4 linked regions of the Drosophila melanogaster genome follow. The protein of the gene in region 4 interacts with the protein of the main gene of each other region in a pairwise test. Each region holds a gene or a part of one and is shown on either strand. Other genes may lie near its edges. The genes, in order: CG42494, Ote, Obp18a and GABA-B-R1.

What was found.
Region 1: the proteins of GABA-B-R1 (region 4) and CG42494 interact in a two-hybrid assay, tested with the Drosophila melanogaster proteins (one large-scale study listed by BioGRID).
Region 2: the proteins of GABA-B-R1 (region 4) and Ote interact in a two-hybrid assay, tested with the Drosophila melanogaster proteins (one large-scale study listed by BioGRID).
Region 3: the proteins of GABA-B-R1 (region 4) and Obp18a interact in a two-hybrid assay, tested with the Drosophila melanogaster proteins (one large-scale study listed by BioGRID).

What each region holds. Positions count from the first base shown.
Region 1 is NT_037436.4:3,182,682-3,187,065, reverse strand, and holds CG42494 (uncharacterized protein), read right to left. Parts: upstream 1,706-4,384; 5' UTR 1,671-1,705; coding exon 1,644-1,670; intron 1,586-1,643; coding exon 1,489-1,585; intron 1,433-1,488; coding exon 1,114-1,432; intron 1,055-1,113; coding exon 770-1,054; intron 718-769; coding exon 594-717; 3' UTR 517-593; downstream 1-516. Other genes in the region: CG32284 (uncharacterized protein), read right to left, coding at 1-103, 167-306, 369-395; girdin, read right to left, coding at 2,400-2,817, 3,029-3,133, 3,267-3,430, 3,492-3,567, 3,628-3,866, 3,922-4,384.
Region 2 is NT_033778.4:18,275,069-18,279,057, forward strand, and holds Ote (otefin), read right to left. Parts: upstream 2,110-3,989; 5' UTR 2,012-2,109; coding exon 737-2,011; 3' UTR 539-736; downstream 1-538. Other genes in the region: pen-2 (presenilin enhancer), read left to right, coding at 2,553-2,613, 2,683-2,787, 2,862-3,001. UniProt on the Drosophila melanogaster protein: Inner nuclear membrane protein. Involved in the attachment of membrane vesicles to chromatin during nuclear assembly, and is probably required for centrosome maturation and cell cycle progression during mitosis.
Region 3 is NC_004354.4:19,134,573-19,137,659, forward strand, and holds Obp18a (Odorant-binding protein 18a), read right to left. Parts: upstream 1,297-3,087; 5' UTR 1,272-1,296; coding exon 1,221-1,271; intron 1,167-1,220; coding exon 831-1,166; 3' UTR 509-830; downstream 1-508.
Region 4 is NT_033779.5:15,014,655-15,019,394, reverse strand, and holds the start of GABA-B-R1 (metabotropic GABA-B receptor subtype 1), read right to left. Parts: upstream 3,065-4,740; 5' UTR 1,999-3,064; intron 1-1,998.

The sequences.
Region 1 (4,384 bases), on a different chromosome or scaffold from region 4:
TTCAGACCGGCACATTTTCAAATTGGGATCAAAGTACTGGTTCACTTTGCAGCTCTTAATCAACGACAAAACTGATCCATTGACCACGTAACAATAAACGTAGCTGATAATGTATAATTTAAATATAATATAATTTTGGTTATTGTACGCCATAGACGTGACCTACGTTCTACAAGTTGGATCAGCCTGGTTTTCCATTATGGTGGTGGTTGTAACTTCGCTGCAGGCTTCTTCCGCACTCCAAGTCTTCGAGTTGTGGTCGTCAAACTCTGGAGCTGGCAAAGCCGTGAGGCAATGAGCCAGCAACTAAAATATATATGTACATATATTTCATTAGCACAGGTAAAAGATATTTTTAAAGACCTCACCAGTAAAAACATTATACGCAGCCACATGATTAGCTTAACCGCACTGCCTTTTGCTTTCTGAAGCATAAGAGCTCCGCGTGGCTCTTAAATAGTTACTGTAGTGGCCTGTTCCCCATCCTATCTTGCCAATTTTAGAAAATGGTATCATATGATTGTTTTATACTAATATTTTATTGGTTTCAATAAATCTGATAATGATCGATTACTGCTGTTAAACGGTCTGACTTAGGTGCAATAATCCGGTTTGTTTTCGCTGCACGATTTCAAGGAAGCATCAAAATATTGGTTGGTCTTACAGTTCTTTATCAAAGCTGTTGCCGATCCATTGATAAAATAACAATATAGGTACCTAGAAGAATGGTTTATGTGAGTTGTTCCCTGGAAATTCGTGGTCTACTTACGTGGTGCAGGTGGGGTCGTCTTGGTTTTGAAACAAAGTGGTCTTAGAGACAGTCAGGCAGGTTTTCTCCGCACTCCAGGGTTCCGCTGTGGTGGTACTCGCCGCTGTTGTGGTCACGGTGGTGGTGGTTGGGGTAGTGGTGGCTATAGTGGTTGTCGTCTCCACGCATCCATCCGGCTTTGTGGCGGTACAAACCTTTAAGCTGGTACTGAAATACTGATTAGCCTTGCATGAAGTGACTTTTGTCGAATGCGTTCCGTCGCTATCAACTGTACAGGTTATAAAACTGAAAAATGAACTCTTTAGTCTAGCATCGAAAACAATTTTCAGCAGTAGGGTATTCACGTGGTGCAGGTGGGATCATCTTCGTTTTCGAAAAAGGTGTTTTTAGTGTATTGCTGACAGATATCGTCGGCATTCCACGGAGCTTCTGTAGTCGTGATCTCAGTGGTTGTTGTGGTAATTGGGGTAGCAGTGGTAGTTGGGTTCTTAGTGGTTGTCGTGGTAATGGGGCTAGGAGTGGTTGTACTGGTTGTCTGGATCTCGGTGGTGGAAGTGTCCTCCTCTGTTTTGCAAACCGGATTAGCATTTTGATAGCAAGTGTAAAAGCCATCCGTGCAATAAAAGTCCTTTGGACATGGCAAGAGATCATACGATGGAACTCCTGGAAATTAAAACGTTGTCACACAATCCCCTTGTTTTTAAAGAAAATTTACAGACCGTCATAGCAGATGGAAAAAGTGGTTTCACTGTGACAAGCGACATTGCTATCACTTTGACACACATTGCACGTGGCCGCCAAATATCGAATCGAAAGCTTAAGTTTATTAAAAAGTGATTATTAGCCCGAAGTGCGCACAGTTTGTAGTAGTTACCAGTAGAACAAGCGCCTTTAGCCACATCTTTTTTGTCTCCAGTCGCCTTTCAATCTAAAATACTGGGGACAAACGGATCACCTTATATGTATCTTTGGTTATCTTTAGAGACTTGCCGAAAAAGTGAGATATTTTCTGTATGTTTGCTTAGTTTTATTGCGGTGTTAGGCTTTGCGTCAATAAATAGTACAAGGCTACAAGTAATTTATAAAAATATATTCACAAATTGAAGGCGCGTTCGTTAGCTGATAGCAGAGTACGAGTGTGGTTTACAACATATCTAGGAATACATAGAGTCGAGTCGAGTTAACAAAACACCAAATGAACGGATATAAATACTATTTTTAAATATCTTGTCTTATCTGCGAAAAAGAAAGCCTTTCGCTTAGGACGTACATTGAGGCCGGTACAGCTAATATTTAACATATTTTTTTATAGTTTTGTGTATATAGGGGTGTATACTGGATAGTTATATGTTCGCATAGTTGTCGCGTAGTCTTGTGGAGTTTTTAGATTGCATAAATAGGTACAAACTATAGTATGTACTATGTACTAGTCTAATTGTAAAATATTTCTTAAGGCAAATCATAGCGGTTTAAGCAGCACTTCACACTTACATATGTAACTTGCTTAAGGCAACATCGATGTTCTAATGCGTTTAAAAATAAATTCGTTAATTTCTAAAACGAAATAATACTTCGTCAGCAAATGCATTATGTTCGAGTTCACGTTGTGGACGTATACTGTTCGAATGATCTAGACGCAGCCGTACTCATACCAGATGCTATTGCTCTTGTCTTCGGTCCGCTTCCTTGCCGACTTGTCATCCTGCATGGTCGTTCCCGAGACGCTGCCGCTGGCCTGCAGCAGAGGGCTCTGGTCCCCGCTGTTCGAGGCTCCTCCGATCGTGGTGTTTATTCGGTTGTACATGAGAAACGTAGCTGGGCCCACCGGGGCATTGTTTTCGGTACTCTTCTGAGGCGTCTGAGGTTCTGCGGGTGTAGGAGGTGCGGCGTTGACGGAGCCACTGCCGCCAACAGACTGTGACTGTGTGGCGCCGGGAGTAGAGCCATCGGGAAGCTTTTGGTGCTCATCGATAAGATAAACGGTGCGTCTGGAACCGGCCGTTCCGAGAGTCAGACTGCTGCCCGTCACGTCTGGCGCTTCAAGACTGCTGCGAAGCAAATGATTTATCAGTAACTAGATGAATGCACTTTTTTAAACACAGGTGGGGAGCGACAACGAAGGGAAATACGCATTGTGCAAGGGGAAAGATGGAATAAGGATTAATAGTGGTCAATTGAAGCCTCGAAACAGACTTCGATCTGTTTCAATTGGCAAGTTTTAATGGGGTAGAATGAATGTTAAACATCAAAAGCGCATACCCGTGCACGCTATTTCTACGTGAGTTATTCAAATCCGTACGTTTCTGAGCCTGCAGGCTACTGCGCACGGCACCGCCGCGTTGGATCGAGTTATCCAGCAAATCCCTACTCCGACATAATGTACAGTGTTTGTTTGGTGCGAATGTCGAGTTGTGTATAATACATGTAAAAAGAACAAATACCGTGAACCCAAAAATCTAAAAAAAACATCAATTTCCAACCCAACTGAATGGCTTACCGCTGCAGACTCTGGCGGAGCGGGACATTCCTCTGGAGCAGGTGCGTGTCGGAGGCAATGGACAGTGGCTCCTCATTGCTATTATCCGACTCATTGCCGCCTGACTCGGAACCGATCACGAACTGGGAATTGGTACGGGCGTCATCTACCCAAGATCGACGGTTCTGAAAAAAAAAAAATATTTTTATGTTAAGTTTCTTTACATCTAGTTGTGAGTAAACTTACTCGACTGGGCACCTTGTTCATTAGATCCGAGCTAGCCTTCTTCACTCTTCTAACCAGCATGCTGGCAAATGGTTTTCTGAAATTTACAGTGATTGGCTTAATAACAAATATATTTTTGTATGGTTATATTATTTACTTCTTGTGCACTGTGGTTTCTGACTTCTTGTAATGCTCCATAATTTTCTCCTCCAGTTTTTCCTTCTGCCGCTTGAGGCTGTGCACCCGTTCGGTGTAGTTCTTCTCCTCCTCATGGAAGTGCTTTTTGTCCTCCAGGGATATGGCCAATAGTTCCTGATATTGAGAGAGCAATTGGGACACGTTGTCCATCAGAGCCTTGCGCTCCGAGTCCAGTTCAGCATTGTTTTGTATCAACATCTGTATGCAAAAAGAATATTAATAGAATATTATATCTTGACACTTTTTAACTCACCTCACAACGCTGCTGAACCTTGCTATACTCCATCTGTAGGCAACGGACCTGATCGCTCTTAGCATTTAGCTCGCCGGAGAGTTCTGTGTTTTGTAGCTTAAGGCTGGAGTGCTCCATGCGTACCATCTTGTACTGCTCCTGGATGTTTTTGTATTCGTTCTTGAAGCGATCGCTGGTGGCGAACAGATTGCGGAAGTCGTCTGTCAGTTTGGAGTGCTCCGTACGCAGGATTGACAGATCCTCGCTGCATGTTTTCATGTTGCTGTTCTGAATAGTCAACTCCTCAATGCGTTGCTCCAATGCCGACTGCTGTTCACGGGTATCTCGCAGCTCCTGACGCAAGTCCCGCACTGCAGCCTTTAGCTGCTCCTTGTCCTTGTTCAGAGACTCGTACTCCGCGGAGAGTTGATCATGCAGGCATTGCAACGTAACCTGATCCTGCAAAGCATGCTTGTGCTCCTGC
Region 2 (3,989 bases), on a different chromosome or scaffold from region 4:
GCAGCCGTGGCAGCAACATCCCCAGCACAACTGGCATTTCCCCCGAGCCACTGATGTTGCAATTTTCATAACTTATTGCTGGCATGCAAGTCAGACCCGGATCCGGTCGCGCTTGTTACCGCTAAATATGGCGCGAAATTTCCTTAAGAAAATAAAGAAATACGCGCAAGTGCGATTTCCAGTTAATAAAATTAAACAGCCCAACTCGGGCAAGGATTTTAAAATAACGCACACCGGCCGCCGAGCCGACTTGTAAAATTCTTATTAATTCTGATTGCAAGGCATTGCAAGGATCGCAGATCAGATCGCAGCAGGAACAATTTAGCTCAGATAAGAGCTGCGCTTGCCTGGTTGCCATTGCGCCTACATTTGGTCAGAGTCATGCCGACAAGTGTTGTACACGCATTCCAGATACTTTTCCATCATTAGCCGATCGTCGTTTGCTGCTGTTTCTTGATCCAATCTGGGCAAACACCTGCCACAAGTGGAGCGCAGTGAATCGAAAGCCGTTTGGAGAAAAAACATCAGAGCAAGTGTTCAACTGTGGAGATTCCCTGCAAGTGGGCTTTATTTGAACACGGATAACACGCAGCTTAAATGCTAGTCAAACTCAAGCTCAAGTTACATCAAAACAAGATTCATACAAAGACCGCGGCGGCAGTCTTGTTTACAAAACATATCCAACATGGTATACAAACTAGATTACAAATTCGAAATAAGAACAATGATGCGCCGGTCAGTAGAATATGTAATAAACGCCGATTAACAAAAGGACGAGGAGTACAATGAACAGCTTCGACTTGATGTGATACTTCTGCTCCAGGCTGTTCAACCAACGGTTAAAGGCCTCGGATACGCTGTTATCATTCGGGCGCAAGGAGCGCCTGGCACGCGGCTCATAGCCGAGAGAACCGCTACCCGCGTTTCCACTGGCCAGAGTGCGTCTGGAATACGGGCTGATGCGATCTCCAATCCGTTCGGCTCGCAAACGAGCTAGATTCCTGGCAAATGTGCTTTCGTACTGGTCTTCCTTGGAATCAGTGTCGTCGCTCAGCTCGTTAGCATAGGTACGCTTGTAGCTGGATGAGTAGGAGGCCACCGGCGGAGCCTCTGCAGTCACATAGCCTTGGGCTGCAGTACGCACAAAACTGCTATAGCGACCGGGTGCTGGGTTGCTCGCATAGTCATAGGACCTGGTGGAACTGGTGGTCTGCGCTCTGGCAGATGGCACAGATGGCGGCAGCACGGGAGCTGCTGTCGCTTCATAGACCTGTCGGCGTGGAGGCTCCACAACCTTGCTTTTGTACTCGTACGTAGTGGTGCCGCTGCTTGCGAGCTTCGTGGTCTTCTGTCTGGCCGCGTGCTCCTGCTCCACCAGATCTGCAGCCTGGACTAGCTGCTCGTCCTCTTCTTCATCGGACTCTAGGACAATCAGGGAGTTGACCTTAAGATAATTCTCCTCTCGATCAGCGCGCTTCGAGGAAGCCGGTTGCTCAACAATGGTTTCTGGCTTCCTCAAGGGCTCCACTACTTTCCTTTCAGACCCCGAGGAGGTGGAAGTGCGCCGGGTCTGTACGGGTTGAGCAGCAGGAGCAGTTGTTGGCTTCCTGGCGGCAACGGGCTCCTCGGATCGTAGGCGGTCGGCTTCGTCGGGGCGTCGGCGTATAGCTTCCTCGGGTAATCGACGCACTGGTTCCTTGGCCTCTGCAGCGGTAATTGTGCGCCGAGCCTTTGTGGCGGGCGCCACCTTGTTGCCATCCAGCTTGTCCACCGGCGTGGAGGCTGCCGCCGGAGCAGATGGTGCACCAGGTGCGGGAGCCAGGGTCTCCCGCCTGTTGGTCTTCTTGGGACTAGCGGCCGGCGACGCCTGGCCACCAATGGAGGCGCGCAGACGCTTTACTAGAACCTTCCGGCTGCTATCCGTCACGGGGATGTTGGGCAGCCCCTGTGCCAGCATCTTGGCGCGCAACTCAGCATTGGACAGAGAATCAAAATCGTCCACATCGGCCATTGTATGGTTTTTCGCACACTTTTAATAATTCGTTGAAAATTGAAATCGGCGTCGCTTTTACGCGGTGTGTGCTAAAATAGTGATGGCAGCAGTATTACCTATCGATGATTCTGTTTTAGGGGATATACAACACTGAAGTGGGCTTGACTTGTAACAGTTTTGGCGTTTTAAAAAAAGGGAACACAAGGAATGATGTTTCATACTAATCATCGCACACATCGCAAAATCGTGCAAACGTAATAAAACATCTATGCTATATTATTATATCGTTATTTACGTTAGATATTGGCAAATGAAACAGTGATCCAAGAGTCGCAGTTTAGCTCACCTCTGTTTCGATAACTTATCGATATCGATTGCGCTCCAATGGACTAAAAACTAAAACACAAATCAACAAAAGCAAAAATTGAAGTGAAAATATAAGCTATTACAATTTACATATTACATACAATTTACATATAAGTACGAAAAAACTTTCCTGGGCCGGAAACAGATTCGAAAACAAAGGAGCAAACACCCACATATTTGAAGAGGATTAATCATGGACATCTCAAAGGCACCAAATCCGCGAAAACTGGAGCTGTGTCGCAAATACTTCTTTGGTAAGAGTTACTACCAATGAGTAATGATTGGATTTTAACCAAGTTACTTTCTATTTGTCTCGAACTTAGCTGGCTTTGCATTTCTGCCCTTTGTGTGGGCCATTAACGTTTGCTGGTTTTTCACGGAGGCCTTCCATAAGCCACCATTTTCGGAGCAGAGCCAAATAAAGAGATGTAAGTCAATATATGAATAGATGCCCATGCCATACAGTCTAATATTCCACAATTTCTTTCCTACCTTCCTCCAGATGTTATATACTCTGCAGTGGGGACTCTATTCTGGCTGATAGTACTAACTGCCTGGATAATAATATTCCAGACAAATCGCACAGCCTGGGGCGCCACAGCGGACTATATGAGCTTCATCATACCCCTAGGCAGTGCATAGACATAACTAGATTAATTCGTTAGCAACTAATGATATTAAAAAAGACTTCATTCCTAAACAAAATTAACGTTTATTATTAATCCATCAGAAGTTCCCGTATATGACCCAAACAAAAGAAGTGCTGTTTTGATTTAATTACATATTTTTTATTCACATCTAAAGCTGTTTTTGTTTTTTATAATTTTCTGTATACTTTAAATATGTGTACTATATTTTGTTGAAATTTCTTAGCCGCTAGTTATGTGTTTTGTTCATATTCGTCCGCCCATATTTGAATGCTTGATTTAGCTTTAGTTAGCCATTTTGTGGATTACATTCTTTGCTTAGATACAATTTCATTGTTTCGAATTCAATTCAATGCGCTTTATCCATCTCTAAAATACATAATTTGTATAAAACTCTGCTTGTACCGTTGCATAAGCCATTATGGTAATTTGTTAAATCCCATTTAATTGTTTTGTTATGTTGTGTGTTTGTATCCGTGAGTCGAATGCCTCCTACGATTTGATTACAAATTGCATTAAGAATGTCAAAAAACCTAGCGACTCCTAAATGAGTGTAAGGAAAACACTCGCCGATCTACACATGAAGACATAATTCAAATTGCTATTATTCGGTAAATCGCTTGCATTTCGTTTGCGGTTAACAGCAAATGCTGCCAACACATATAGTAAATTACAATATTATGTATTAATGTTTATAACACGAACTTGGTGGCAAAGCACCTAAGCAGGGCCACCAAATCAATCAGTGGAACTAATTTACAATACAAAAGACTCGCTTTAAGGTATATTTACAATCAATACTTGTTTTATTTATAAATTCTAAAGAATCAATGTGTATTTGGGATAGGAAGCGGGATTTTTGAGGGCCAGATGGGAGCTTTCTCATTCAGTTTTTCTTTTTTTTTGGGCTTAGGCTACAGAACATTAAGTGCCATAAATCACGCGTGTAGAGTCTATGAAGCGGCTAGTGAATTACTACACAC
Region 3 (3,087 bases), on a different chromosome or scaffold from region 4:
CATGTCCTGCGTCCTGCGTCCTGCGTCTTTCGTCCTGTGTACTATGTACTGTGTCCTTTGCACTCGACTGCGCTGAGTCGAGTTAATGAAAGGCCAAGTCAAATGCCTCACTGATTGCATTGACATCCTTCTGGCCCTTTTTGGCCCTCTTGGCCCAAAATGTATTTGGCCAAACTTTACGTATGATTTGCTGGGAAAATTGAAATTTGCCCTGCATCCTGTGGGGTCGACTGGGATTCATTATTACGTCCACACATCCGCCCCATCAAGTCGGTTCTGCAGTTCACAGTCTGCGATTTGCATTTCAATTATGTTCAAATTGCATCTTCCATATCTGCCATTTCAAATATTATTCAAGCAGGGGGAAAATTTTGTGTTTGGCTTCCCAGTCCACCCATATATGTACATATGTACATGCATACATACATATTTGGTCAGCAAACTGAAATTTTCTGTTATTTATTTGGCCATGTTTCTTGCGAATTTTCGGAAAATAAAGACTCTGATTGACTTATTATTGCATTATGTATTTCCACCAGTTCTACGTTACTTTGCATAAAACAAATCAATAAAAAGCAGACGAGTTTAAAACAATGCATGTCTACTATTTTGCTCTAATACAATTATTAATCACTGTATACAAATAATAATAATGAAAATCACACTTATACTAAGCACAATCGTGTGTAATTTCCATTAGAGGGCGTTTGATCTGATTAGAAGACTCAACAATGAACTGTGATGAAGCCCATTGTGTCTGTCATGTGTGTGTACATATATGTATGTAGTAATGTATATATGTATACTTTATTTTTTGTTTATTTGGTAAATTACGAGGCGATAGTTCCACTCTGCTTGCCCTTAAAATAACACTGGAGAATCAGGTATGGATAGTCGCACGTGTCCAGATTGGTGACGCCATCGAACTGCTGCTTACACTGGGACAAAATCACGTGGTCCTCTTGAGATCCTCGCTTTCCCACCTTCTGCAGATCGATTTTCCCATCATCACCGAAATAATCCTGGATCAGACACCGGCTATAGCACTTAACGGCCACTGGAACATCCGCAACGGGAGTGGATGGAGCCACTGCCTGCACTTGGGCACTGGTCAGATTGTGGTGCTTTAGGCAACCCTCTGCGTTAACGCGGCCAGCTGATTGCCACTAGAATAGATGGTATTGTTAGATGGACACATAACTATTTCGTTAAGAACTGACCATAGTTATCAAGCAAATCCATAGTACAGCTATGCTGCACACAACCTTCATGGCGAAAATCTGTTTCCCAACTAACAATGAGCGCATCATCACAGCTCTATATATATAACCCATCGATTTGCTAATTCAGCTCAAAAGTAGACAGGAGATTTTAATTAAATAATTGGATGCTACTTTACATTCGCCACACACCAACAAATAAAGTCTATAATTGAAATTTTAAGCGCAGTTCCCGATTATGAGCTACACGTATGTCGTATGCGCAATATCTGCATTACAATTGCCAATAGTAAATTACCAACTTGGTTTTCTTCATATTTATTAAGATAGAAAACATACAATTTTTGGCTTTTACACTCCAAGCATCTCTGAAGTTTAAACAAAAAACATATGTGTAGCCTATCTACTGTATTGGACTTTATTCGTATATTTTATATGGTTCATTAATATAGGTATAAATACAAATTATATTCACGCTTTGCGATTTGCAGCGAATATCACATCTTATACACGATGTAAAAAAAAAAAAAATATTTCGTCATGTTTTTAGGTTGGCCGCAGGCAGTGCTCACTGTACCGCCACAATGTTTATCGTTTTGCATTTTTTTTTTCTTTGTTTTCTTGCGGTTTCCCCTAATTATCTTTAGTATAAACTTAGTCTACTGTCTTTTTTGGTAAGTATTTTCGTGATGGGCTCGTCTATGCGAATTCCCATTTCCAATGAATAAATAAAGTAATTAGAACATTAAAATTAGCAATAAAACACGTACATTTAAAGCTGACAACAAAAAAAAAAAGTATTCTTATGTTAAACTGTAGTATGTGCCTATGCAATATTAAGAACAATTAAATAAAATAGCATATTAACTTATGGCAGCACTTTGTTGCTATGTTTATGTTTATGTTTATGCACGCAGTTAGGCCAGGGCGGATGTAACATGATCACCCACTCGAAGGCAAAAAGTATAAGTGCATGGTCAGCATTCACACGCCGACCAAATACATATTACATACGTACATACATATCTCGCTCTCCCGATAAGCCTAGATATATAAGATATACATAAGAACGCCGCTCCGCTGCTGGCGTACCCGGCAGCGCAGCTACGCGGATTAGCCTAAGTCCAAATATATTAAAAACTGTAAAATCAGAGAGACTCTGTAGACGTTGAGCTGACAGAACCATTTCTGCCTACTCTAAAATCAAAAGAAGAAATTGAATAAATATATGTCAGCCCGACGGCTGCCTTCAACTTAAAACGGACTTGTGTTCTGAATTGGAGTTCATCATTACATGGCGACCGTGACAGTCGTCCAACGCTGGACGAATTGACCAAAGCTGGTGAAAACAAAGGAACAAAGGAACACTGGACTGGAAGAAGACTGGACTAATTAAATGGAACTGCAAAAACCAAGGAAAAATCTGAGTGAGTAGAGTTCTATTGAGTATGGGCAAACACCGTGGCGGTTTGAAAACTAAGCTGAATAAACGTATAGCCCACGTAAGGTGGCTAATATACGGTCAGCAAACGCCACCGGTTTGGTCGAAAGCTCTAAAGCTACATGCAGAGCTAGACCACTTGTTGCAATATCAGCAAGAATTAAAGACCCATAAGCTCGAGAAAACTCACTCAGATAATATTAAAAATATACCCACAATTAATGAAGTTCCAAAATACCAGGCATGTCCAGCACCAGCACCAGCATTAACAAAACCAAAGAAGTCCTGCCCCCCTGGCTGCGAAGGAATCTGGAGTCCCCACTGCCTGGGGACTTGTGAGCGACCATCGACGTCTTCAGCGGCGAAGAAATAGACAGCAGCGAGGGAGTGTCAGCGTGCCACCCCCGGCGACGCCCAGCTGACACC
Region 4 (4,740 bases):
TAAGTTTTGATTTCGAAGCTTTTAAGCTTTGTTTCAATTGAGATTTGTCGAAACAAATAAATAAATAAGCAGTTTGTATTTTATTTGCTCTTGTTCTTCTTTGTTTTTGTTGTTGGTTGTTGCTGTTCAATTTCTTCTTTTTGTTCAGGGCAAGGGCATTTTGCGCTTCGGCGCCTGAGTTTTATGGCTTTTACCCGCCACGCCCCCGCCCCTTCATCTGTCCGCATCCCCTTTGGCAATGTTCTAAACTCCTGCCAGCAATATTTTTCTATAAAAAAAAAAAAACAGAATAGAACTTTTATGTGGGAGAAGCCTTTTTATCTCTATGTCCTGCGTGTGCGAGGTACTCACATACACACCGATACGTAAAACCATATAGGGCAAAAAAAAAATATAACTTAAAGTATGAATTGTATTATATATTTTACCGTCAGCACGTTTCATAATTTATTACGGTACTAAAATATTTAATTTAAGAGTGCCTTCTCGGTTGTTCTAGACATAATATATCATATTAAAGAGTGGTCTTGATTGAAATCTGCTTGTAAGTGAATATAAAATAGATGGCACATTTTGAAGGCTTTTATAGTTATAAAACCTTAAATCTTAATTAAACAAAGCATAGTTCCCTTTGAAATATATCTTAATTCTGAACATATTTGTATTTAAAATTGATAGAAAACTTAAATGTTTGCACTAACACAAATATATACTGATGCTAATTTGCCAGGATTTATTGATTTAGTGTTTCCTTTCAGTTTCCTTCATAATTAGCCTATTAATCAACTGAACTAACAGTGCGTATACGTATTTTGAGGATTGATTGCTCGACTTTAGTGGGTGATGAATGCGATGCAAGTCAGAAATCAACTAAAGTTTTTTTGTGTTTGAGGATGTAAAAAATACAAAGCCATAATGTGGCGATGCCATTACCGGTTATTTGTGTTGGTTGGATGATGAATGACAGTTTTTCATGCACAAATACGGCGTCTTTTTTAGCATAAAACCTTTTTACAGTGTTTGCATACGAGCCGCGTGTGTTATTGAATGGAAATGCTGTCGGTTTAGCACAAACATGCATACATATATGTATGTATGTACATCGCCGCAGCGTCACTCCAAATTTGTTTGCCAGTTAATCGCACTGAGGCGCGTTAATCATGGCGGTGTGTTAAGGACGAATAAAAGGTGGTGGTGCTGTGGATAATTTTGGTGGCTACGGGGTGGCTCACTTAACTAAGGTGTGGTTGCAGATTTGGCGAGTTGACACCTTTGACGTAGAGTTGCCGCTGAAGAGGCGCTGATGAGAGGGGATGGTCGTCAAGGGGCTAACTTCCTAGTGACCTAGTTTACAAACCTTCGCACACATACACACACACAGACTTTAAACATTAATTACGTCGGGAATTCTGCACAAATGCGACAAATGCTTCACTTCACTTCACTGCCTTCCCACCTGCTCTCTTCATACCTACACAGAACAAAAAGGAGTGATCGTAGATGATGATCGGTTTACTCTTCTCAAAAGCAATATAAAAAAGATATAGATTTCAGATTCTATGAAAGATCTATGCATCTTGTCGGCGAAAAAACAAAAATATATCAAATTTGTATTGAAAAATAATTTTAACAATTTAATTTGAGTTAGAAAGAGTTTTGTGGTACGATCATTGTAATGACCATCAATCCGGGATATCATTTTAACTATTATTTTCCTGTACTACAACCAATAAATATCATATATCATTCTTTCCTTTCTTTCTTTTATTTGTACTTCTCAAATCATTTTGATTTCACTTGGCTTAAAACATACATATATTTCCACTGACCATTCATCACTTGTCCATCTCCTAGAATCTTTGAACCATGAGGGTTTAATTTTTTTTAACATCCCTGGGAATTAGCTGCTCACATTTTTGCAAGTGTATTCTCTCCGCCTCTCTTCGCGGCACTCTACACCTTTCTATTGCCATCTCGCTCACTTTACACTTCACTTACTTTGCGTATTGCCGTTTAAAAATGCGATGTTGCGGTTGTTGTTGTTGTTGTTTCCTGCTTTGCTACTACTGCTTCCTCTTCTTCTCGGCCTCCGTTTTATCCTTTGCCGATGTTTTTGTCTCTGTCTTTGTCTGCTCCTTTGCTCCTTTGGCCGGTGCTTCAATTGTTTCATAAGACGCTTCTTCTTTTTCGCTGCTCCTTTTGCTTGGGCAGGGTCGTAGGGGGTGTTGGATGGAGGGGGTGCTGCCAAAGGGGGTCAGGGGCCAAATCAGTGTTTGTTGTTGATTTGGTTGTTGTTGTTGTTGTTATTGTTGCTATTATCGCTGTCGCGGCGGCGTTGTTCAAACATAATTTGATGACTGCGCATTACAATCGATAATCCCATGCACAAATGCAGCTCAGCACATCGGCATTGCCTTAAATCCATTTTAATGAGAACGGATCCCGATAATTCCGTAATCCCCAAATGATGGCAATTCCTTTGCAGGTCCTGCTGTCACTGCCTTTTTTTGCTGTGCTCTCTCCTCCCTTTTCTTTTTTATTTTTTATATATGTTTGTTGCACTTTCACAAATAATTCGAGAAAAAACTGAGATGTGAGGGGCGTGAGCTTTTTTTTTGTCAACTTTGTTTGAGTTTGCGGTGTGTTCTGTGTAACTGTGCTATATGCTATATGCTATGTATATTACTTTGTACAACTTTTCTACATTACTATATCAGATTTACGTTGAATTCCTTATCAAACTAGTAAGCTTCTGACTATGAGGGGCATGAATTATTAATGTATTCGTTTTATTTCACTTGCTTTCTAGCTGTAACACACTTCACTTTATCAATTCCCGCACCGTAATTCCATTTAACGCGTATTTCTTTTTGCAGGTATTCAGTTCTGCGGGAGTTATATCTTATGCACAGAGTGGTGTTTTCGCTCCTGCTCCTTATTTGTCTATTTTTTGTACAGACTTTTTCGCATTGTATTCGGGGGATGAGACGCGAGAGGCTCCTGCTGTGTTCGTTGTGTTCCACATGTATCCGACGACTGGAACTCCATGACTGACATTTACGTTTTCGCCTCGCCAGGACGAAAGCTTAGAGCACGAGAGCTTTTCGGTGGGAAAGCTCGTGCTTCCGCTTTTCCACTTTTCCAGTTGCCAAGTCAAGTCGGGTTTTTTGAAGTTTCGCTTTTTCAGTTTGCTGGCCAAGTCGAAAGTCGCGAAACTCTCCGGGCAATTACGTTTACTTTGTGGGTGGGTGTAGCGGGGTGTAGGTGGGTGGTAGTTGGACGGTAATTGGGGGTTGGGCGCAAGGACGAGGGCGGGCTTAAGGACACCGGTTTTATAGAGTTGTCAAATGGCCCCAGGAATGGCCAGTCAAAACATCAAAATTCACTCGCAATTGGCCAAGGGCAATGCGAAAAACCAACAACAAGGAGCAAGTGCCACTAGGCCAACCGGGAAACAGGATGGGGGCATTGTTTTGAAAGCGAAAGGCCATAATGCTTGCACGCCACAATCCCGAGCCGCAGTCAAAGCCAAAGTTGAGTTTCATTTTTGGGGTCGCGTCGCCTCATCGAGCCAAACATGCAAACACGCACGGGCCAAAGCCAAAGCCGAAGCCCAAGGAAGGCAAGGTGAGGTCCTTGTCATTTAACTCACTTGTCGAGTTGACCTTTGTTCGCTTGGTTGCCGTGCTCCACCATAGAGCTAATGCCCAACTGCCACGCCTTGAGCTTGATCCATAGCAACTTGTACTTTTGTGTCCCCTCGCAAAACCCCCCCCCAAACCGCTCGACAAAAAAAGGGGAAACCCTGAAATATACAGCTAACCCCCCTTCACCAAACACACTTGGCTCTAAATACAAACTTGCCCCCCCCTGCTGATGGCCATGTGCATGTTTGATGAGCTTATCAAGGCTCCGGGATTATTGAATATTTTCAAATCGATATAGCCGTGCCAGCCACACCGTTAGTTGGCACCTTAATTGCCAACTGAATAAATCATTGACAATTTTGCAATTAGTTCGAGAACCTCAACTGTCCGCTCAAGTCGAAGGATTCTGCGGTCAAAAATAAACCATTTGCATTGGCCCAAAAGTAGTCAAGCCAAGAAATTGGAAGTTTTCCCATCGTCGACTTGGGAAATCAATTACTCAAATATTTATGTCCGCATGTGGAATTCGGGTATGCTGAAATGCACTTGTCTTGAACTCTGCCAGTGAATAAATGGCAATCGAAATTGCTGAGCGGATTAAATAACTTTCAGATGTGTGAATACGAGGGCATGGGTTATGGCCTATATTTGCACTGCCGTATAGGTTACAGAACGCACTTATTGTTTAGATATTTGAATTGATTTCATAGACAGTTAGAGCAGAAACGGCACTAATTAAACCAAATCCACTCAAGAGCAAATTGGTAAACAGCAGTTTGAAAATTAACATTGCGCAATTGTTATGCATTGATAAATTGATGATTTATTTATGAATTTTCTGTATTCCAATGTTATTTTGGCATAGGCCAGCTATTATTTTGAACTCTGATTTTGATTTCTAGTTCACTCTAAATTCACGTTTTAATTACATAAAATTATAAATGTTTTCAGTGAAATATTTAGCGAATTTGCTTTGAATAGAACGTTTATTTTATGTTATGGTAATCTCCTAAAACTATTCAATAAAATGAAAGTTATTATTGAATGGGCGATTTAAAACATTTGCAGGCACAGCTGCAATCAGCAATCAACA